Linked DNA regions of Canis lupus familiaris. The protein of the gene in region 1 interacts with the protein of each later gene in a pairwise test. Links are inferred from orthologs where the notes say so. Each region holds a gene or a part of one and is shown on either strand. Other genes may lie near its edges.

Evidence for each region.
Region 2: the proteins of IPO13 (region 1) and PAX6 interact in a two-hybrid assay, tested with the Homo sapiens proteins (2 studies listed by BioGRID and IntAct). The link is inferred for Canis lupus familiaris from reciprocal best matches to the Homo sapiens genes IPO13 and PAX6.
Region 3: the proteins of IPO13 (region 1) and PBX4 interact in binary tests that used the Homo sapiens proteins (3 or more experiments, as listed by UniProt). The link is inferred for Canis lupus familiaris from reciprocal best matches to the Homo sapiens genes IPO13 and PBX4.
Region 4: the proteins of IPO13 (region 1) and PITX1 interact in binary tests that used the Homo sapiens proteins (3 or more experiments, as listed by UniProt). The link is inferred for Canis lupus familiaris from reciprocal best matches to the Homo sapiens genes IPO13 and PITX1.

Annotation. Positions count from the first base shown.
Region 1 is NC_049236.1:16,405,679-16,411,201, reverse strand, and holds the start of IPO13 (importin-13), read left to right. Parts: upstream 1-2,222; 5' UTR 2,223-2,851; coding exon 2,852-2,935; intron 2,936-4,657; coding exon 4,658-5,394; intron 5,395-5,523. UniProt on the Homo sapiens protein: Functions in nuclear protein import as nuclear transport receptor. Serves as receptor for nuclear localization signals (NLS) in cargo substrates.
Region 2 is NC_049239.1:36,061,336-36,065,096, reverse strand, and holds part of PAX6 (paired box gene 6), read right to left. Parts: coding exon 3,754-3,761; intron 3,270-3,753; coding exon 3,187-3,269; intron 2,953-3,186; coding exon 2,802-2,952; intron 2,703-2,801; coding exon 2,587-2,702; intron 1-2,586. UniProt on the Homo sapiens protein: Transcription factor with important functions in the development of the eye, nose, central nervous system and pancreas. Required for the differentiation of pancreatic islet alpha cells.
Region 3 is NC_049241.1:44,060,319-44,065,835, reverse strand, and holds the start of PBX4 (pre-B-cell leukemia transcription factor 4), read right to left. Parts: upstream 3,681-5,517; coding exon 3,529-3,680; intron 3,444-3,528; exon of another isoform or gene 3,425-3,443; intron 1,616-3,424; exon of another isoform or gene 21-1,615; coding exon of another isoform or gene 1-20.
Region 4 is NC_049232.1:23,086,288-23,091,866, forward strand, and holds the start of PITX1 (pituitary homeobox 1), read right to left. Parts: upstream 3,307-5,579; 5' UTR 3,215-3,306; coding exon 3,049-3,214; intron 813-3,048; coding exon 580-812; intron 1-579. UniProt on the Homo sapiens protein: Sequence-specific transcription factor that binds gene promoters and activates their transcription. May play a role in the development of anterior structures, and in particular, the brain and facies and in specifying the identity or structure of hindlimb.

The DNA.
Region 1 (5,523 bases):
CTACGACCTGACCAGGAGAGCACTTTCCACTCCTGAGAGTCACAGGTGGTTCTGGTAGCTCTATTTTTGACTGCAGTCTTCGTTTCACATTTGCAAAGCTACATTGCCCCTTTGAGTGGTCTTCCCAGAACCGAGGTACAGTCTCCTCCAAAGGGCCATCAAGTCACCACCTCTTTCTTGTAAGACGAAAAACTACAGGCAGCTTTGAAATGGCAGCTTTTCCAGCTTCAGGGAGCACCCAACTGCCCTCTAGATTTGGTTCATCCAGGAATCGAGGTTTGGGGTTCCATGTGCTTTCCTGAACTTGCCAACGGCTTTCCTCCTCTCTTGTCCAAGGATTGCCCTATTTCCCCTGGCTCGAGACCCCTGCGGCAGAGTGTCGGTGCGCTGGCCGACTCCCTGCGGTCTCCTCCAGAAAAGGAGAGGCTGGGTAGAAAACTGAGGGATCAGAGAAAAGATGTTGGAGAGTCTGTGCCACATGAGATCCCCTTTATTGTTCACAGCAGTGGTTCTTAACCTGTTTTGGGGCTGTAGAGTCCTTAGAGAATCTGATAACAGCCAGGGATTCTCTCCCTGCGCCCCACCCCCATGATGAAAAGACCATTCCTGCAATTTATCCTACGTCCTACAGATAGGTATTTGTTGAACTAGATTCCCACAGGATTTTGCTTCCGCACTTAATCAAGCTCCCCACCTCACCAGCGTCTCTATTCTTCAAGCTCAGACTAGGTTTCTCCTCCTCAGGGGAGCCTACACTCATCGTCTTTGGCCTTAGCAGCTATTGCCAATGTCAGCTTCTTCCACCTGAATCCAGGTACAGAGGTCCTCCTTTCCCTTTTATTATTTTTTTCCCCTGCTGGGATAGCTGGCAAAAGTTAATAAAAGGACAGGGAGGACAGGGCACCTGGTGGCTCAGTCAGGAGCGAGCATGTGGCTCTTGGACTCAGGGTTGTGAGTTTGAGCCCCACGTGAGATTACTTAAATAAATAAACTTTAGGGGCCCCTGAGTGGCTCAGCGGTTGAGCGCCTGTCTTTGTTTGGCTCAGGTAGTGATCCTGGGGTCCTGGGATCGAGTCCCGCATCGGGCTCTCTGCAGGGAGTCTGCTTCTCCCTCTGCCTATCTCTGCCTCTCCGTGTCTCTCATGAGTAAATAAATACAATCTTTTAAAAATAATAAACAAACAAACCTTAAAAATAAGAGCTAATAAAAGGACAAGTGGAAGTTTAAGGGGTAGGGGCTGCTGGGGTCTGCTGGAGCCAGGTCTGTGGCTGGTCTCTGCTACACTAGCTGTGTCTCTGGACAAGGCAAGCTGAACGAACCTTCCCCAACCTCGGTTTCCTCCTCTGAAAACGGGGACTAAAAATCCCACCCGAGTTGTCCAGAGAATCGGACCTAAGGTGTGCAAAGCACTGTTCCTAGCACTTAAATGTGAGCTCTTCTTACTCTGATCACTCATAAAAGACAAGTTGCTTCCCAGCGCCTCCCCAAGTCTCCGAGTACTGTCCATGGTAAGGGGTTTGCCGGTGGCTCCCCGGGCAGTCCCGAGAGCCGTCCCTTCCCGTTCCAGCGGCGCGCCGAGCCCCCCCGCTTCTCTGGGCGGGGCGCTGCCTCCTCCCCAGAACCCTCCTTCCTGCGCCCCAGGTGGCGGCGGCCGCGCGGCACCGCAGTGACCTGTTTCTCTCCGCCAGCCCCCAACACGCACCTTCATCCACTGGCCCGGCTTCGCAGCTCCGTCCACCAGCCCCTCCGGTCACGCCCTCCTCGGGAGCTGCTCAGCGGCGCCGCCCGCGGGTCCGACCCCGCGGCCGGCAGCAGGTCCGCGCAGGCGGGGCTCCCCGCGGGTCCCCAGCCCACGTGCTCCCGACCTCTGCCGCAAGGCGCCGCCCTCCCGCTGGGCGCAGCGCGGACTACATTTCCCAGAGCACTCAGCGGCGGGGCCTTGGCCCAGCGGGGGCCTCGAGCGGCGCGCCGGTCCGCCGCCTGCGCGGGGGCGCGCGGGCTGGCGCGGGGACGGGACCAGGGACCCGGAATGAGTTTCCGCGCAGTTCCGCTGTGCCGGGCCGGGCTGGGCTGTGCCGGGCCGGGCCGGGCCAGGGCAGGCGCGGGGGGAGGGCGGCGCCTGAGGCGGCGGTGCGGGGGACAGGCGCCGGGGGCAGCCCGCGCCTCGCTGAGGTCCCCGCCCCGTCCCGGCCGGGCCGGCTCGCCTGTCAGTCACTGGGGCGGCGGCGGCGGCGGCGGCGGTAGCGGGGCCGGAGCCGGGCGGAGGGGAGAGCGCGGGCCGGGCCGGGCGGAGGGGACCTGCCACCGCCCCTCAACTCTACGGACTCTTCGCCGCAGACTCGCGGGGCTGCAGCCCTGCGCCCCGTCGGACGCCTCCGTAACCCGCGGAGGGCTCGCTCCGCCGTCACCCCCGCCCCGTGACCTCCTCGCAGGACCCGGCAGCGCGCTCACACGAGGGTGTTGTGGGTACAGGCCGTCGACCCTGTGACCGGCCCGGGGCCCGGGGCTCGCCCCCCACCCCGGCCTGCCTTCCCAGGGACTCCTGCCTCGTAGATTGTGGGCACAGACCCGTGACCTGCCGCCGACACCCCGCCTGCGGACTCTTCACTGCCGGCCCCTCCCCCAGGCCCCCTCGGTTGGCCTCCCCCTGCGAACACCCCTTTGGGCGTCTGGCAAGCCCCCCATCCCCGCCCGAGGTGGGGCGGCCTCGGCAGCCATGCCCGCCCTGGGCCCCCTGGCACCCCGCCGCTTCCTGGGCACCCAAGCCGGGGTCTAGCAGGGGGCCAGCAGCCAAGGGGCTGGGGCCGGAGGCAGGTCGGGATCCAGCTCCCTGCCGGGGAGGGAGCAAAGATGGAGCGGCGGGAGGAGCAGCCGGGGGCTGCAGGGGCTGGAGCAGCACCAGCCTTGGACTTCACTGTGGAGAACGTGGAGAAGGTACGAGGGCCCGGGGGTGGGCCGTCTGGTGACAGAGCAGAAGTCCTGGGGCCCGGCTCGGATGCCAGAGCCAGGCTTGGGCCGGCTGCCTGCTGGGCTGGTGCCCCAGGGCACCTGGCACTTGCTGCCTCTCTGGGCAGGGCGGACAGCAGTGTGGTGGCCTCCGAATGGGCTATTTTTGGCTTTCCTTAGATATGGGTTCCCTGTGGCTACTCTAGGGTCTTGGGATGGTCCCTCCAGGGTGCGGGTAGCCCAGACCTACAGCCAGCCTGGCTGTCCTCCAGCTCCATGGGAACTGCATGAGCAGCGCAGTAGGAACCCGGGAGACCTACAGCTCAGTCCCCGGGAACCATACAGATGCTGAGCCATCCTGGACCTGTGTTGTGACCCAGCGGCTCAGGAGATAACCCGAGACTGAAACAGCCTGGGCTGTTTTCCCTTTTTCTTGGGGAAGGGTCCTTCTTGTGTTGGATGGAGGCCAGACCAGTCCTGGGCAGGCAGGAAGGGCTGGCCCCCTTTGTTTTGTGCTGGGTCCAGGGGGTTCAGTCCTGCTGGCAGCTTCAGGGTCCCTTCCCTGCTCTCCTGCCCACACAGCCTCCTGTCATGGCCTCCCCAGGCTCTCCCACTGCCCAGGCCGTCTTCTTTGAACTGTTTCTCTGGCTCTTTACTGTGTTCTGCCCCAGGGGGGCCTGGGATGCAGAAATGCCTCCCTGCTGGGATGAATGGGAAGATTGGGGTACCACGCAGGAAAGCAAGGAATGGTTGCAGATACTCATTTGTTATTCTTGAGCCCTTTTTGCCATACCACATGATGGGAATGCATCCCTTCTGCCTTGCTCTGCCTGCCTCAGCATCCCCGAGGGGCCAGACAAGGGACAGTAGCTGTAACTTGCCATCAGAGGTATGGATATGGCTAAGCCTACATAGATGGATCCTGCTTAGGGAGTCAGAGTCCTGACCTGGCTGTTCCACCCCCTGGGACTGGGCGGTGTTGGCATGGTGGCGCTCTCTTCCGTGTGCTACCAGGGAGACAAACCACTGTGTTCTTGCTGTGTGAAGTCCCTGTGGAATTGGGACCCTGGAGATTTGGCTAGTTGAGAGCTCCAGACAAGACATTTGCCAGGGCTCTCGGCCAAGACTTCTTCACTAGCTTTTCGGACCCTCACGTGTGCTCTCTGAGGGGTGTCCTCACCCTCCCTTCCAGTACGTCTCTGGCCTACGGCCGCCTGGCAAAGTCTTAGTCCTGCTCAGATTTCACACTGGCTTTGGTGCCAGCATCTGGAGTGACCTAGAGATGATGGGAAGCTGAATAGGACTCTTGGAGTTGATGGGAGCAGCTGTGCCTGGGAGGGTCACAGCCCCTCAGGCTGTTCCATGCTCTTTTCAGGCTTAGCTTCATCCCTTTGGAGCCATTCCTTCAACCTGGGCCTTATCCTTTACCTCAGGTGCCTCCCCTTTGGAGAGCTCAGCCTCCGCTTTTTCTGCTTTTTTATGGAGGTTCACTCTCTGGCCCATAGTGTTTTGCTATAAGAAGAAGAGAATATGGCAGAGCGTGGGCAGAGTTCAGGCTCTCAAGATGTCAGTAGGACCCTGGGCCCTTCCTGCTGAGCCCCTCGGTCAGAAACAAAGAGCAGACTTGCAGGACCAAGTCATGCCCTCTGTTCTGGGCTCTGGCAGGACCCAGAGTGGTCAGCACTTGCTCAGTCCTGTGCTGTCCTGCAGGCGCTGCACCAGCTCTACTATGATCCCAACATTGAGAACAAGAACCTGGCTCAGAAGTGGCTGATGCAGGCCCAGGTCTCCCCACAGGCCTGGCACTTCAGCTGGCAGCTACTGCAGCCCGACAAGGTGCCTGAGATCCAGTACTTTGGGGCCAGTGCCCTACACATCAAGATCTCTCGCTACTGGAGTGACATTCCCACTGACCAGTATGAAAGTCTAAAGGCACAGCTCTTCACCCAGATCACCCACTTTGCTAGTGGCTCCAAGATTGTGCTGACTCGGCTGTGTGTGGCGCTGGCCTCCCTGGCTCTCAGTATGATGCCTGACGCTTGGCCATGTGCTGTCGCAGATATGGTACGGCTCTTCCAGGCTGAGGACTCACCGGTGGATGGCCAGGGCCGCTGCCTGGCCCTACTGGAGCTGCTGACAGTGCTGCCAGAGGAGTTCCAGACAAGCCGTCTGCCCCAGTACCGCAAAGGCCTGGTGCGGGCCAGCCTGGCAGTGGAGTGTGGGGCTGTCTTCCCATTGCTAGAGCAGTTGCTACAGCAGCCCAGCTCACCCAGCTGTGTGCGTCAGAAGGTGCTCAAGTGCTTTTCCAGCTGGGTGCAGCTGGAGGTACCACTGCAGGACTGTGAGGCGCTCATTCAGGCTGCCTTTGCTGCTCTGCAGGACTCGGAGCTCTTCGACAGCAGTGTGGAGGCCATTGTCAATGCCATCTCGCAACCTGATGCCCAGAGGTGAGCTGGTCCCCATCTTCCCAGAGAAGGACAGCTTGTTTGGCCATCCATCCATCCATCCATCCATTCAATAAACACTAATTGAGTGCCTACTGCATATGCGGTCCTATGCTGGAGATACACAAGGAG
Region 2 (3,761 bases), on another chromosome or scaffold:
CCCATAAAATTAATACGGTTTTTGTCCACTTTCATCTTGGACCTCTGCTGGCATCTCCAGAGAAGCTAGAGCATGAGGACTTGCATTAAAACACACCTCCTCTCCTGCAAATCCAATCTATTTGGGAATCTACTGACCCCCAAATCCTGTATCTCAAGCTTTGGGCAGAGAACTGTGGGAAGAGTTCTCTATAAAGTAGGCTCAGAGTCCCTGGGAGCCTTTCATGGTTGGACTTATGGGATTAAAGATTCTTTAAAGAGGCAGATCAGTAATGATCTCAGATTAAAATGGTCAGAAGTGTCAGTAAACATCTAGCCCTCTCCTAAAAATTAGCTGTGACTTCCTTATAGATCTAAAAGCCCAGTTTCGGTTTTTTTGGGTTTGTTTGTTTGTTTGTTTTTTATGATAGTCACAGAGAGAGAGAGAGAAAGAGAGAGAGAGAGAGGCGGAGACACAGGCAGAGGGAGAAGCAGGCTCCATGCACCGGGAGCCCGACATGGGATTCGATCCCGGGTCTCCAGGATCGCGCCCTGGGCCAAAGGCAGGCGCCAAACCGCTGCGCCACCCAGGGATCCCCCCAGTTTCGGTTTTATCCGTAAACTACCCTCTAAGTGTCTGGACTGGGGACATTAAAGAGGTTTCTAATTCACTTTCTCCTAGGTGAATAAGAGATACACAGAGCTGAGACAAAAATCCCTCAGGAGCTCACACGGAGCTATGCCAGGCCAGCAAGATTGGAGGAATTAATAGAAACCTAATGCCAGGAAGAAGGGAGATGATAGCACTACTCTGTTCTGCAAACTGCAGAAATGTTGAACTTTTCAAGATTCACCATCTCAGAAAGGGGGACACACTAGAGAAGGTTCAGAGGAAGACACCTACCCTTTGCAAAATGGTCGAAGATTTTGGTTAACAGGATGAACTGATGGACAGACAGACCAGCACCGCCCCCCAAATCCAAAATTCAGAAAGTACATTTTCTCTGAAAGGTGGAATTACTAATAACTTTTTCATTTTCTTACGTTTTATTTTTAGATAAGTTGTGTAACTTTCAAAAGTTAGCATCTGAAATAGGTGGACCCCACACCAGTCTATAGGTGGAAACGACCTTAGTAGAGCGGCAGCACCTATGTAACTGCTTCTAAGTGTTTTCTCACATACAAATTTTGTTGTCTTGGCAGAAACCAAGATGCTGCCATAATTTGCAAGACCAAACAAGACATTCAGTTGCCTTATTCTAGTCAGAGGACGACTGTGAACATCAGGTTCAAAGAGGCAAGCAGGCCTTTGGGGCCCTGCCAGTATTTCAGCTTGCATTTGTTGCTAATTCCCAAAATCATTTCCTGGAAGCAACCTGGCTTCTGGAAAATTCCAAAGCAGTTGCAGGAACACCAACCAATGGGCCTTTAATTCCTTAACATATATTAGTTGATCTATGGCCGTTAATATCCAGATGCAATAAAAATCAACATGTGAATAATTCCTCTGAAGTTGCTTCCCTAGCTGCTCCTATTTTAGTCTGAAGACTGTGAAACATCTATTTTTTGTTTCTTTGTTATCTGGAGTTTAAATTCGTCAAAAGACATTCAGTGGTGAGTAAACAGTCTGTGGAACCCCAGCACTGTTTCCAGCAGGGGCTCAGGCTGGCCAGTCTCTCACCATCCGGCACCTTCCAGGTACTGCACAAACAGGAGCCCTGGGAAAGTCACCATGGAAGGCCCTGCTTTATAGAAGGCCCACCAAAAGATCAGTTGTTTGTTTTTTTCCATCAAGAATCCATCCCCCTCCAAAGTTGTAGTCAACCCCACCTGCCTCATGCAACTTCCATCAGAAAGGGCTAGTAGCCCAGGACAGGGCCTTGCATGCAGAGGAGCTGACAAGCATTCTCCACAGAGCTGAGAATAGAGGCAGTTTGTTAGACCAAGTGAAGAACATCAACACAGCCAGGCAGCCAGGAGTGCCACAGACGCATTACATCATTTATGTAATGACGTCACAAAGACACGCTAAACTTTTAGCAAATACCTCTATCCCTTTTCTTATTGTAAGATACAGAGAGAAAACTCATTGTTCTTCCCTATTAAAGTATATCCTACGATGCAAATATAAATCTTATTTCTGATCCTTTTCTCCTTCCTCCCTAGTTTATCACATATACTCTAAATAATATCCAAAATGCATACACCAGTTATGTATTCATTAATATGAACATATTAATAAAACCCAGATTTACGTATATCAACCCCTTACTATCCAATAATGTGCCAGCATTGTTTCTGCTTTCTGGTACAAATTTCACCGGTACCCAAAACACTCCCCATCCCCACCCAACATTATGAAGCTACCATTCTCTCTGAGCAAGAGGCGGATTAACTTGGTTTTTATGGGTTTTTTCAGAGCATGCATCAGTCAATCCATCAATCCAGCTCAAAGACTGGACTGAGTGTTAAAACTTGACTGGTGAGGCCAATCACCGCAGTGAGAAAGGCTCCCGAGGGCGTATGCATGGCCAGTGAGGTCTGCAGGCCCTGACCCACTCCTCGCTTCTCCGGGGCCGTTCCACAGCCAGCCAGGGGCCTCACTTACTTGCATAGGCAGGTTATTCGCCATGGTGAAGCTGGGCATGGGCGGCAGAGCGCTGTACGTGTTTGTGAGGGCTGTGTCTGTCCGGCCCAACATGGAGCCAGAGGTGAAGGAGGAAACTGCAGGAGAAGGACAGTACAGACAATCATGCTGAAAGTCCGAGCCAGGACAAATAGGTTAGACACATTTAGTAGGAGGAGAATGAATATGCAAATTACCAGGCGTGGTGGGTTGTGGGATAGGTTGGTAGACACTGGTGCTGAAACTACTGCTGATGGGGATGTGACTGGGTGTGTTGCTAGCCTGTCTTCTCTGGTTCCTCAGTTTTTCTTCTCTTCTCCATTTGGCCCTCCGATTAGAAAACCATACCTGGAAATCAGATGGAAGGGGTTAGGCCTTTGCCTACTCCCAGCTTAACCTCCCCCCTGGCACCTCCACCCCTCCCCACCCCCAGGACCAGTCCCCCAGGGGCAGCAAATCATTTAGCAGACTGAATCTTCTACTGTTTATATAAATGAATGGTGCTCCTCGGAAGCACCTTTGTCTCCAGAAAGGGCAAATGGTAGGAGTCACAAAGCATGACACCACGTGGTCCCTGGGTACCTGTATTCTTGCTTCAGGTAGATCGATTTTGGCCGCTAGTCTTTCTCGGGCAAACACATCTGGATAATGGGTTCTCTCAAACTCTGAAAGAGTAAGTTGAGTTTTCCGTGTTGCGCCAGAACGACACAAAATGTGTCAACCAAGCCCTAGATCAAGCTGGTTCCCACCTCCCCATTTCTGTCACCTCCAACCAATCCCCTTACAAATGCTACTAGTCCAGGCATTGACTGATGCTTGAAAGAGCTATCCCACTCGAACCAAGTTAAATTTTCTTTGGAATGACATTCATTCGAGGACCCTGCAGTGGCCTGAATGAGCCAAATCATCATTTTTTTTCTTTATGAGAAGTCAGACTCTCACTCTTTGAATTACTGGTACATGAAAAGAAGAAAGAAAACACACACACACACTGAAAAGATGCCCAGGAAAAAAAAGAAAGAAAGAAAGAAAAAAGAAAAACCTTTTCAGTTCTCTATGCAAAGGGCCCTGGCTAAATATAGCTCTTTGTACTGAAGATGTGGCATTTAGTTTGATTTACTGCTTCTCTACTTTGAAAAACTCCATCACCTTTCTCC
Region 3 (5,517 bases), on another chromosome or scaffold:
CCAGATAACACTGTTACCATTCTACTTCCTTTCTCTACCAGGTTTCAAAAATCTACCCCTCAGTTCTAGAGTTCTCATACTAATTTCTTAGAAATATTACTACTGGACAAAAAATGAGTCTACCAGCCTTTGTTGAGAGGCAGCTTCCAGGCTGTGGGGCACTTGAAGCTGAGGATCTCCAAGGGGGTGGGAAGTGAGGGAGGGCCCAGAGCTTACAACAGATTTTTATGACTCATACATTCATTAAGAACCCTGGGAGAAGGGAAGAACTTTGAGCCTGACAGTTTTGACAGAGGAGTCCTCAACCCTAGTCTAATAACCCTCCTAAGCCTCTCATAAAGGTAGCCAAAGCAGATGAAATGAATTATGCAGAAACTGTAAAATGTTGTAAAATTTATTATTATAAAAAAACAAGGCTATGCATGATAGAGCAAAATACTCAGACAATCCTTGGCAAATGAGATAAAATTTCCTGCCTGACTTGTCTCATACAAGAAATGGATGAGCTCATCATCAGGGAATGGTTCCAAATCAGAAAATGCAGAACTGTACCTTCTCCAGGAAGAGCTTAGGGTATAGCTGAAGGTCAGAAGATCATTCAAGAAGACTGCTTATCCCTCACATAGGAAGTCTTCAGCTGACTTGGGCTGAATCTAAACTAAAGTGAAATATTCCAAAGTCCCTTACAGTCCACTGTGTAGCCCAAAGGAAGAACAATATACAGTTCACTATTCCAAGACTATCATGACAAAATGAATCATGCACAAGCACTTGGAGATGCCTTCCAAATAATGCAGAAAGGTGTAAGTAAGAATTCTGGTTTAAGGAGAATAGGTGTGCTTTCCCTCTTTAAGCACGCTTACGGTGACAAAATAGTTTGAAAGGGCCTTGAATGTGAGATGAAAAATTCTTTCTTGCTAGACAGTTAAGCTGAACTGACTCCAGGGCTATGAAGGGGTCAGGGTGCACCAAGAAAGGGCAGGGGCAGAAAGACTTGCAAAAGCCTCACCCAGTCGGTTGATCAGGACAGACACAATCTGCTCCCCCTCCCAGGTTGATAATCTACCAGGCTGCAAAGTTTTACTATGAGGAAAAGACCCACCCAAGCTATCTGCCTGGAGTGGAGTAAGTGATCCACCTGAGGACTGAAGACTGTTGTCTGAACTTGGGTGGCTTTTAGAGCTATATCCAAAGAAGGGGGGCAGATCTGAAGCTTCTAAGTCTCAAAATAAAAGCCCCAGGGGCCTTTCTACCTCAAAAAGAAACCAGGAACCAGCTACCTAATAACCACGTTGTCATGCATGTATAATGCTCCACTATTCAATGTCCTAGCCTTAAAAGAAAAAGAAAAAGCTGTCTTCAAGAATAGCAAGGAAGAGGTCACTGACTGCACACCATTCTAAAGTCTATCTAGGGGAGTACTGGATTGCTGTAAGAAGAAGAGTGCACCTTGGGGTTGTAATGGGGTGACAGATGCTTGAGGAAGGCCACACCTGAGCAGAGCTAACTCCTTAAGCAGCTCCCTACCTAGAACAGAAAGAACTTGGGAGCTCCATAAACACCCAAAGCACTGTCTCTGTGATTCCTGGGTGTGAAGAGCCCATTTCCATCTCCCCAGCTCCTCCTTTTTTTTTTTTTTTTTTTTTTAATTTTTATTTATTTATGATAGTCACAGAGAGAGAGAGAGAGGGAGAGAGGCAGAGACATAGGCAGAGGGAGAAGCAGGCTCCATGCACTGGGAGCCTGATGTGGGATTCGATCCTGGGTCTCCAGGATCGCGCCCTGGGCCAAAGGCAGGCGCCAAACCGCTGCGCCACCCAGGGATCCCTCCCCAGCTCCTCCTAATCCTTCCAGAATCTGAAGTGCCACAAACTTTACTACATGATAGGTGCCAGGCATTGTGCATAGTCCTGGGAATACAAAGGAAAATAAGACAAAGCCCCTGCTCTCAGACAAGTCTAGCAGACAGGGTATCACACAGGGCACCCCCTCTCTAGGCCCATCTCTTTTTTCCCCTGGTGCCAGGAATCACCTCTAGTCAGCACACACTTATTATGATAACTATTTATAAATCAGTCTCCCACGCACCCCACTTTTCAATGATGTCTGAGAGGGCAGAGAACATCTTAGCCAACTTGGTTTCTCTAGCACCTAGCACAGTGCTCCAAAACGTAGAATGAACATAGTAAGGGAGGAGGATAATAATACTCTTAACTTTCCAGAAAGAGTCTATGAAACTGCAGAAAGTGGACAATCCACAAGAAGCAAAGGAAAGTGAGAAGAACAAATGCATGCTGAATCCATCTTTTCTTTGCCTCCTCCTTCCTGTGGCTGCTGTTCACTTGGCTTTGACATAACCCCTCCTCACTAGAGGGCTCTAGCGACTGCACCAGACCCTAGTCCCAGCCCCAGGGACCATCCTTCACACCCAAATAGGCCCCATCCTCCAAAAGGACTTTGGTCCTTTCCTATTTTCCAATAATTTGAGCAGGCCCCCAACACAATGGGTTGCCTTGTGAAGCCGATTCTACTGTTCCTGGCTGGCTGACAAGTGGTGGGTGGAAGCAAGTAGGACAGGTCGTCTTAAAACTGCTATGGTTTTTCCCAGCGCAATTGAAATAAAATCCAAACTCCTTCCTAAGACTTGTGGGTCCTGTGTGGTCTGGTGCCAACCCCTCCCCAAACTGAACTTGGGATTTTAAGTCTCTGGCTCTGCTTTCTCTTCCAGCTCTTTCCCGCTCCCGGGGGCCCGAAAGCGCCGTGTCCTCAACACCTGACTTCCCATAGCATGCCATCCCTTTTCTCAGAGCTTTTCTCACAATGTATACTTGGTTTTTGCTACTTTCTCTCCCTCACTACTAGGAGTCTGAGAGAAGGGACTGTGTCAGCAACCCAGCTGGGTGTCCCACACAGTATCTAATGCATATTTGCTGAGTTAATAAAAAGGCGGCCCTCCATCCCCACCCAGCAGCTCCTCCACTAACCCTTTTTCCTGATGGTTCCCACACCAAGTCACCCCCATCTCCTCATCCGTAAGTCCCACTGCCCACAACTCACTCTCCATCATCTCTCTCAAAACTTCCCACCTCAGAAGTCTCACTAATGCATCCATTTAGCTGTCCATCCTTCACAAATCCCATCTCTCAGCCCTTACACCTTCCTTCTTTCCTCTTAACCCTTACATTTCATAAGCCTCAAACTGCCTTTCACCATATACCTCCCCATCCACAAACTCCCCTTAAACCCATCCCTCTCACCCCAGGATGGGCCCCTAAAACCCATCACCCGCTGCTTAGCCCCATAAGCCTTTCAATCTGTCGCAGTTTAACCTCATAAATCCCTTCGGCCTCAGAACCCGGCCCCCCTCAGCTTCCCCGAGCCCCCACATCTCCCCTCTCACGCTCTCACCCTGCACCCTCCTCACCCCTCAGCCTCCAGTCAACTTGGCCTTGGCCCCTGGGCCCGCCCCCTTCTCTGCCGCCACTCTGGGTGGCCCCGGCCCCCGCCCCCGTCGAGCCCGCGCAGCACCTGGCCTGCGCCTCCTCCAGGCTCTGGTCGGTGATGGCCATGATCTGCTGCAGGACCTCGCCTGTGTCGGGGCCCGGCGGGGGCCCGGGCGGCGGGCGGCGCGGGGCCGGGGGAGGCGGCGCGGGGCGCTGCGGGCGCGGAGGGGACTCCATGGGCGGCGGGGCCGGGCCGGCGCTGACACGGTGCCGCCGGGCCTGGAGCGCTCACAGGTCGCCGCAGCCAACCACCGCCCCCCGCGCGCTGTGCGCGCGCGCGCCCAGACCCCACCCCTCGCCGCTGCCTCCCGCCAACCGCCGCCAGCCAGGCCGCCGCGCCCCGCCCACGGACACGCCCCGCCGCCTCCGCCAGCCAACTGCCGCCGCCCGGGCCGCCGCGCCCCGCCCACAGACGCGCCCTCAACAGCTCCCTTCAGCGGCCCAGGACTCGGCTGGGAGTTGCCGAGGCAACGGCTCTTCGCACCCACACCCTCCTCCTTCCACCCCTCAGCTCTCCGCCTTCCTCACCAGCTCAGAGCAAGGACTCCCGCTTAGGGACCTTAATCCTTCCTGGGGCCCTCACGTCTCCTCAGAGCCCCTGCCCCTCCTCGGAGAGGTCCCGCATTTTCTCAGAGACCCTCAAGTCTGAGTCCACCGCCCCCGCCGACATCGCCGCAGAGCCCTTACTCCCCTGCAGAGCTCCCACTCCTCACAGGTCTCCACTCAGATGCCCCCACTTCCTCAGGAACCCACATCTCTTCCCAGTCCCCACTTTTCAGAGAACCCCACTCCTCCTTCAAACCACCCCTTCCTTCTCAGAAATCCTGAGATTTCTCAGATCCCCACCAAAACCCACCATCTTCAGAAGCCCTGAGACCCAGGCCCCCCCTCAGTACCCTAAGGGTCCCCTCAGTCTCCGCCCCATCAGGTGGGTCCCTAGGGCTCCCGACCTCCTGGCTCTACCCCCCTCTCCCCGGAGCTTTTGACGAGGGGTGCAGTTGTGTGTGGTGATGGTGGCTGGAAGATTTGCACGGAGAGATTTTTCTCTGCTACACAAATCAATTCTCTTTTCAAGGTCCAGCTTATAAATGACCTCTGGTTTATCCATTCTCTCCATCAACTGCAATCTGACCCTAGAACACCCAAGCAGACTTATTGAACTACTGAAGGATGCTTCCTGAGGGTCTCCTCTGAGGTGTACCCCAAGTAACAGTGAATCTCCACAAGTCTTGGTTTCTAGCCATTAGTGCTCACTGCATCAGAGAAGGATCGTCGAGTGAGAGAAAAGGAACCGACTGGACACGAATCACTTCTCCAAAGTCACTGGGACCTGGTGGAGCCTCTGCTCTGAGGACAGATTCCAGACGCAGTCTCATAAAGGTCCTCAGCCTCTCTGCGAACCCTTTGGGGTAGGGCCCACCTTCTTCCCATTGCTGCTGGAGAGGAAACTCAAACACCATCTGGTGTGATTGGATTGGAGGACTCCAAAAAAGACAGCAGGGAATGGAAATGAATGATAGAGGCTGGTGTTAGGAACCACTTCAAAAGCTCTCTGGTGGGGTTCCTGGGTGGCTCAGTGGTCAAGCGTCTACTTTTGGCTCAGGTCATGATGGGGGGTAGGCCCTGGGATCGAGTCCCACATCAGGCTCCCCACAGGGAGCTTACTTCTCCCTCTGCCTATGTCTCTGCCTCTCTCTCTCTGCATCTCTCATGAATGAATAAAATCTTAAAAAAAAAAAAAAAAAAAAAAAAAAAAAGCACTCTCTGATTAAGGAAACTCAACACTGGGTCCCAATAAGAGAAAGTACTAGAATTTGTGGGGACCATGGAGGGTTGTTGCCCTGCACAAAAGTTCAGCAGCTAGTGCAGCCCTACACAGGAAGCCTAAGTTATGGGTAATTTTGGTGTCTTTCAGAGAACAGTGGTGGAAGCAGGGGGTTGAAAGCTTTAGGGATCAAAGGTTGAAGGGAAGAGAGACCTACAAGAGAGAGAAAAACCAATGGGACAAGATGCC
Region 4 (5,579 bases), on another chromosome or scaffold:
CAGGGAAAGGGTCCAGCTACTCACTGGCTGACTGGCTGGAGACCAGTCAGGTGGGGACTGTGCTGAGCTTCTGCAGAAGCAGGCTATGATTGGGACCACTGCCCCAGGAGGTTCTGAGACCTGCAAGCCTAGGTACCCTTCAGGCCTCTGCCAGGTTGCCAGGCAAGACCTGCCTTTCCCTTTCGTTTTTGGGGGAAGGCGGCCCGCAGCTCCGAGGGCCCCCTTGGCGGGGAATCCTCCGTGCAGTCTAGGGTGTTAACATCCGCATGGGGTCTGGGCCCTGCAGGGCAGGGGAAATTCCCATGGGGCCACAGATCTTGGGGTGAGGCTGCAGTAGAGCCTGAGGGTCACTAGGATAGGCCAGGCGACAGCCGCCGAAGGCTCTAACCACCAAAGGGCACAGCAGGAGCCGCCGGAACACCCGGAACACCCGGGCCTAAAGCTGAATCCTCCTCTCCGGTGGAGAGTGGTGGGACGGAGACAAAGTCTGAGCGCCGGTCTAAAGCTTTTGGAGGGCTGCGGCAGAGCCGGCCAGGAGCGGTCCGCACGGGTCCCCTTGGGCGCGCACGCTGGGCTCACCCTCACGCGCGGCTCCGTGAGGTTGGTCCACACAGCGATCTCCTCCCGCATGCTCATGTCGGGGTAGCGGTTCCTCTGGAACGTGGCCTCCAGCTCTTGCAACTGCTGGCTTGTGAAGTGCGTGCGTTGCCGCCGTTGCTTCTTTTTCTTGGCGGGGTCCTCCGCGCCACCGCAGCCTGCGCCTCCCGCACCGCTGTCCTCCGGCCCCTTGACTTCCCCGCCGCGCTCCTTCTCTGAATCGGGCAGGACAGGCCCTAGTCACCTTGGGTTTATGCCCTTTCGCACCCCGTCCCGGCTCCACCGAAGCGCCAGCCATCAGCGCTGGCGGCCCTTCCTCCCGCCAGGAACCCTAGTTTTGTTCCCGCTGGAAAGAGCCTGTCGGGTGCCTGATCCTCACTAGTCACCTTTGGTCGGACGGCCCCGAAGAGCCAGGGAACCCGAGGCTCCGGCCTAGGTTCCCCACTGGGCAGGGCCTGCCCTTGCAGCTCGGCTCAGGCTCAAGCCCTACTGCCTATGTCGCCCGCAAATGTATGAAATTTTGAGGGCTTTTAGGCATTTAAATCTGGGGGTGTCTCTGCTCTTCTGAACTGATATCAAATCTGGCTAGCCTGAAGCCAGTGGGTCGGTGGAGCAGGAGCCAGGCGGTAACCTGCAGCCCCTCTACTTTCTTCTCCCCAGGGCTGTGTGGGAGCCACATTGGGCAGGCACAACACAGCTGTGTTCTCAGCCTTAGCTCCAGGCCTCAAGTCCAGAGGCCCAGAAAAGCCCTCAGGCGGCAGCCCAGACCCACACACTCTGTCTAGGTGACCTGGGGCTCTAGCCTCTCGCTCTCTCAGGGTACACAAAACACATTCAGTCATAGACACATTGAAACAAACAAACAAAAAAATTAAAAACAAAATACAGAAGCCCAGATAAACTCAATTCTATCCCAACACCATGGAAAGGCTCACAAACTATTAAAAATAGGCAGGTAGGAACACAGAGCAAATGCAAATTAAGAAGCAAGAAACCTCCGTGCAAACAGACCCCTAACTAAATACAGTGCTGTACGCGTATAAACTCCAGGCAGACGCGGGCATTTATTTCTCCGGGATAAAAAAAAAAACAACTTAATGTACTGTTGTAGATAGATTTTTTTTTAGCCCCTTCCTAATAATGCCCTTCTAGGGATAGTCTTTAAGTCGCAGGGAAATACAACACTATAGTTAGATAAATTACCAAACTAACACTGCTGCAAATGGATTTTGAAAAAAAAAATCCCGGAGAAACGCGCCATTTTGGATTGACTTTTAAAAATCTCCAAGAATAATGCTGCATGTGGATGTTTTAAATTCCAGAGAAATATGCCTCGCGTAGTGATTCTTTCTATATCGAAAAACACAGTTAAAAAATTTAATATATCCTCACGGAGTTGGTTTTAAAAAGCAATCGCTCGCTGTATATTTCTCCAGATTTTAAAAAGTAAAAACCAACCAAAGGCCACGCTTCAAACTTTTGAAAACAAAAGTACAGTCCAGCGTGGATTGCTTTTCTTAGCCAAGCAAACAGAACCTCTCAGAGAAAGTCACTTAGAGATGCAAAACAGAAACAAATAGAGATTAAAAACGCGTAGAGAAACACTCAGCGGTGGATTAAGAAAAAAGCACAGCGGAGGCGCCCACGACCCGGGGAACAGGGCGCCCGGCGGGACGGGGAGCGCGGGATCCGAGCGGGAGACCCGGGGGCGCGAGCGGCCGAGGATCCGCCGCGCCACCGCCCGCACCGCCCACCCGCCGGCCCCGCTCGCGGCCAGCTTGCGGGGGAGCAGCCTGAGTTCGGGGGGCAAAACGGCGGCGCGGAGGGAGACGCGCCCCAGCCGAGCCGGGCCCTGGCCGGGCGGCCTGGCGGCTCCCGGGTCCCTCCACGAGGGGGGCCTGCCCGCCAGCTGAGCCGCACCTCTTGGCCCGCTCGCCCTCGCTGCCCTCTTTTTTTTTACTTGAGGTGGTCCCCCCTTCCCCGCAGTCTGTTTCTCTGACTTTTCCCGCCACCCCTTCTCTTGGATTTCTCCCTCTCCATCCGTGCCCACCGCCTGTCGGGGTGTGTGACCCCGTCTCCCTGCGCAGCGTCTCTCGCCCGCCGCCCCGTTCCTCTCTCCACCTACTGTCCTGCGGTCTGAGCGGCCCCCTGGGCACTCGTTGCGCAAACCGAATTCTTTTTCTTCCGGCTCCGTCTGCTCCCGATCAAGAGGGGCTGTCGGGCCGACCCTCCCGTGGTCGGTGCCTGCATCTGCCGGGGTCTGGGCGCGTGGGCACCGGCTGGGAGCAGAGCACGGAATTCCGTCTCATCAAGCGCGCAGATTTCCGCGCTCCCGGTCCGACGGAGGCCGGGAGAAGAGGTCCCGGAGCTCGCGGGGCTCGGGCAACCTGAGCGTGCGGCGCGGGCGCCAGGCCCCGCTCCCCGCCCCGCGCCGGGCCGAGCCGCGCTTACCTGGCAGCTCCGTGTCGGACGACTCGCTGGCGGAGTTCTCGAGCGGCTCGCGGGGGTCGGCGGCGCGGGCCAGGTGGAAGGCCGGCCCCATGTCGTGCGGCGGCGGCGGCGGCCGGAGCCCCTCCGGCAGCCGCTCCAGGCTCATGCCCCCCTTGAAGGCGTCCATGGAGGCGGGGACCGCGGCGGGCGCTCCCGGGGCCGGGGCCGGGGCCGGGGCCGGGGCCGGGGCCGGGGCCGGGCGCGCCCGGCCGCCCTGGCTGCGACCTGCGGGGACAAGAGCACAGCGCCTAAGCGGCTGCCCCCCAGGGCTGCCCGGGCCCGCAGCGACGCCGCGCCCGCCCCATGGACCGCCCGGGGCTGCGGGGCCGGGCGGGCGGCGGCGGCAGCGGTTTCTCGCGACCGGATCCCCGGCTTCGCGCTCCGCGCTGCGCTCCCGCCGCTCGGGCCTCTGCCGCCCGCCCGGCCCCGGCTCCGGCTCCCGATCCGGGGCCGGTTTCTAAGGCTCCGTACGGCGCCGGCAGAGGCTGTCTTAAAGCGACAGCGCGCACCGCCAGGTTCCAGCAGTCCCTGCGCCAGGGGTGGTGGGTGGGGTGGGCCCGGGTGGGAGGGGGCTGGGGAGGGGGGAGGGAGGGAGGGAAGGAGGGAGGGAGGGAGGGAGGGAGCCGGCGAGCGAGGGAGCGCGGGCGGAATCCGGCCCCGAGCCGCCCGCCCTCCCCCGGCCGTGCCCTCCCCCTCCCCCTCCCGTCCCCTCCCGTCCCCCTCCCCCGCCGCAGCCACCTTCCCGCCGCCTCCCGCCCCCTCCCCCCACCCCCCGCGGCCTCGCCGCGCCGCGCCGCTCCCTCCTTCCCCGTTGACACACCGACTTCTCCCTCGGCCGCACAAAAGAAACGCATCTGGTCTCCAAGTCCCGCGCGGCTCGTGCCCACCTCCAGCCCCAGATGACTTGTTTTGCGCAGAATCAACTCCTGTCTGGGCCGCCTCGAAGTCCTCAGCCCCCGGCGAGAACAGCCCAGGACGAGAGAATGTTCCCGGGGCAGGATCGCACGGAGCGGGCGCCTCCGAGCCAGCGCCAGGGCGGGGGCAGAGCCCGGGGCCCGTTCCGGCAGCTCCCGGCGGCGTCCCCGTCGGGGGGCCGCTGGCCCCTCCTTCCTCGGCCTCTTCTCCCGGGACCTGAGCCCGGCTGAGTGACAGCAGCCTGCGTTCTAATGGGCCCCCGGATGCTGCCTCCTAATTAGCTTGGACCCTGTCGTCCAAGGCTGCTTCTCTGGCCTCCCCCTCTGCACCGCAGTCAATTTTCCGGGATTGGGATTGAACTGATGGCTTCTAATCAGACGAAACGTTTCTGTTGGCTCCAGGCCTCTGGCGAGTGCAGCAGGAGACCCCGAGAGCCCCGCCAGGCCCCACAGCCTCTTCTGCAGGGCTCTCTTCCCTTGTTTTGCACCAGTCCAGCCGAATCAGCCAGGCCCCGGCCTTGGCAGCCAGGGGGTTGGCTTCTGCCCCCTTCAGGGCAGGTTTGTAGCGATCTGGGGCCTCCTCTGGGCTTTCCAGAGCTGCAGGCACCTGGCCTCGCGAGCAGGCCAGGTGCCTGCAGTTTCCCAGCCCGGAGTCCGCAGTCCAGGAAGCCTACCGCCTTTGAGCTTCTCTCTCTCACACAGCAGTAGCTGAGCGGCAGCACCGCCGAGGCCTCCTGGGGGCAGACACCGCCCGGCCCCTCCCCACCTCTGAGAATGATCCCCTTCTGGAATCCTCCTATGACAGTGAAGTTTGTTGAAGGATTTTGCCGAACAATTGTTAACCAGCCCCGAGACCTCAGAGTCTTGAATAAATAGACGGCAGCTAGGGTGGTAGGGTGCGACCCTGACCCGTGCCTCTGGCCACAGCTAGACCCCAGGCTGCCCTCCGCCCCTCGATTGCTGACCAACTCCCCCAGATAGGAGTAGCGCTGGGCAGGACAGTAACCCGGAGGAGAAGCACTGCTCTACTCTCCAGGTGCAGCGCCTCACCACAGGGCCCAGTGCATCCTCATCTCTTCCTGGGGCGGAGGGAGTGTCTCTGCTTGGGGGTGAGGATCTGGGGTGTTCTTCAGGTACTGCCTTCTAGCCCTCACCCTGGCTCATCAGGAGACCCAGAGCCTCAGGCTGAGTTACTTGGTGTGGATGTGGGGGAGAGTGTGCAGGGTGGCAACAGGCCTGCCTCTCACTCCTCCGCGTTAGCCTGAGACCCCCCCCCCCCCAGCTCTGGGTCCTGGGAGAAAGCAGAGCTCCTTAGGGGTGACACACTCTCTCTGGGTGCCTCTGACTGCAGGGTCAGGGTCCAGGTCTGAGGCCAGAGGATGTATCTCAGGGGTTTGGGTTAGGGAGGCTCAGCAACTCCAGCCCTTTCCTTTCCTCCCAGAGGGGAATTTCTCTGCGTGGAGACACCTCCCCCCCCATGAAGATAATCTTAGATGTGTGTTGGGGGGAGGGTGGCAGGAGGGGGACATGGGAAGTAGGGTTGCCCAGCATTTGCCCTCAACCTCATCTTTTACCATA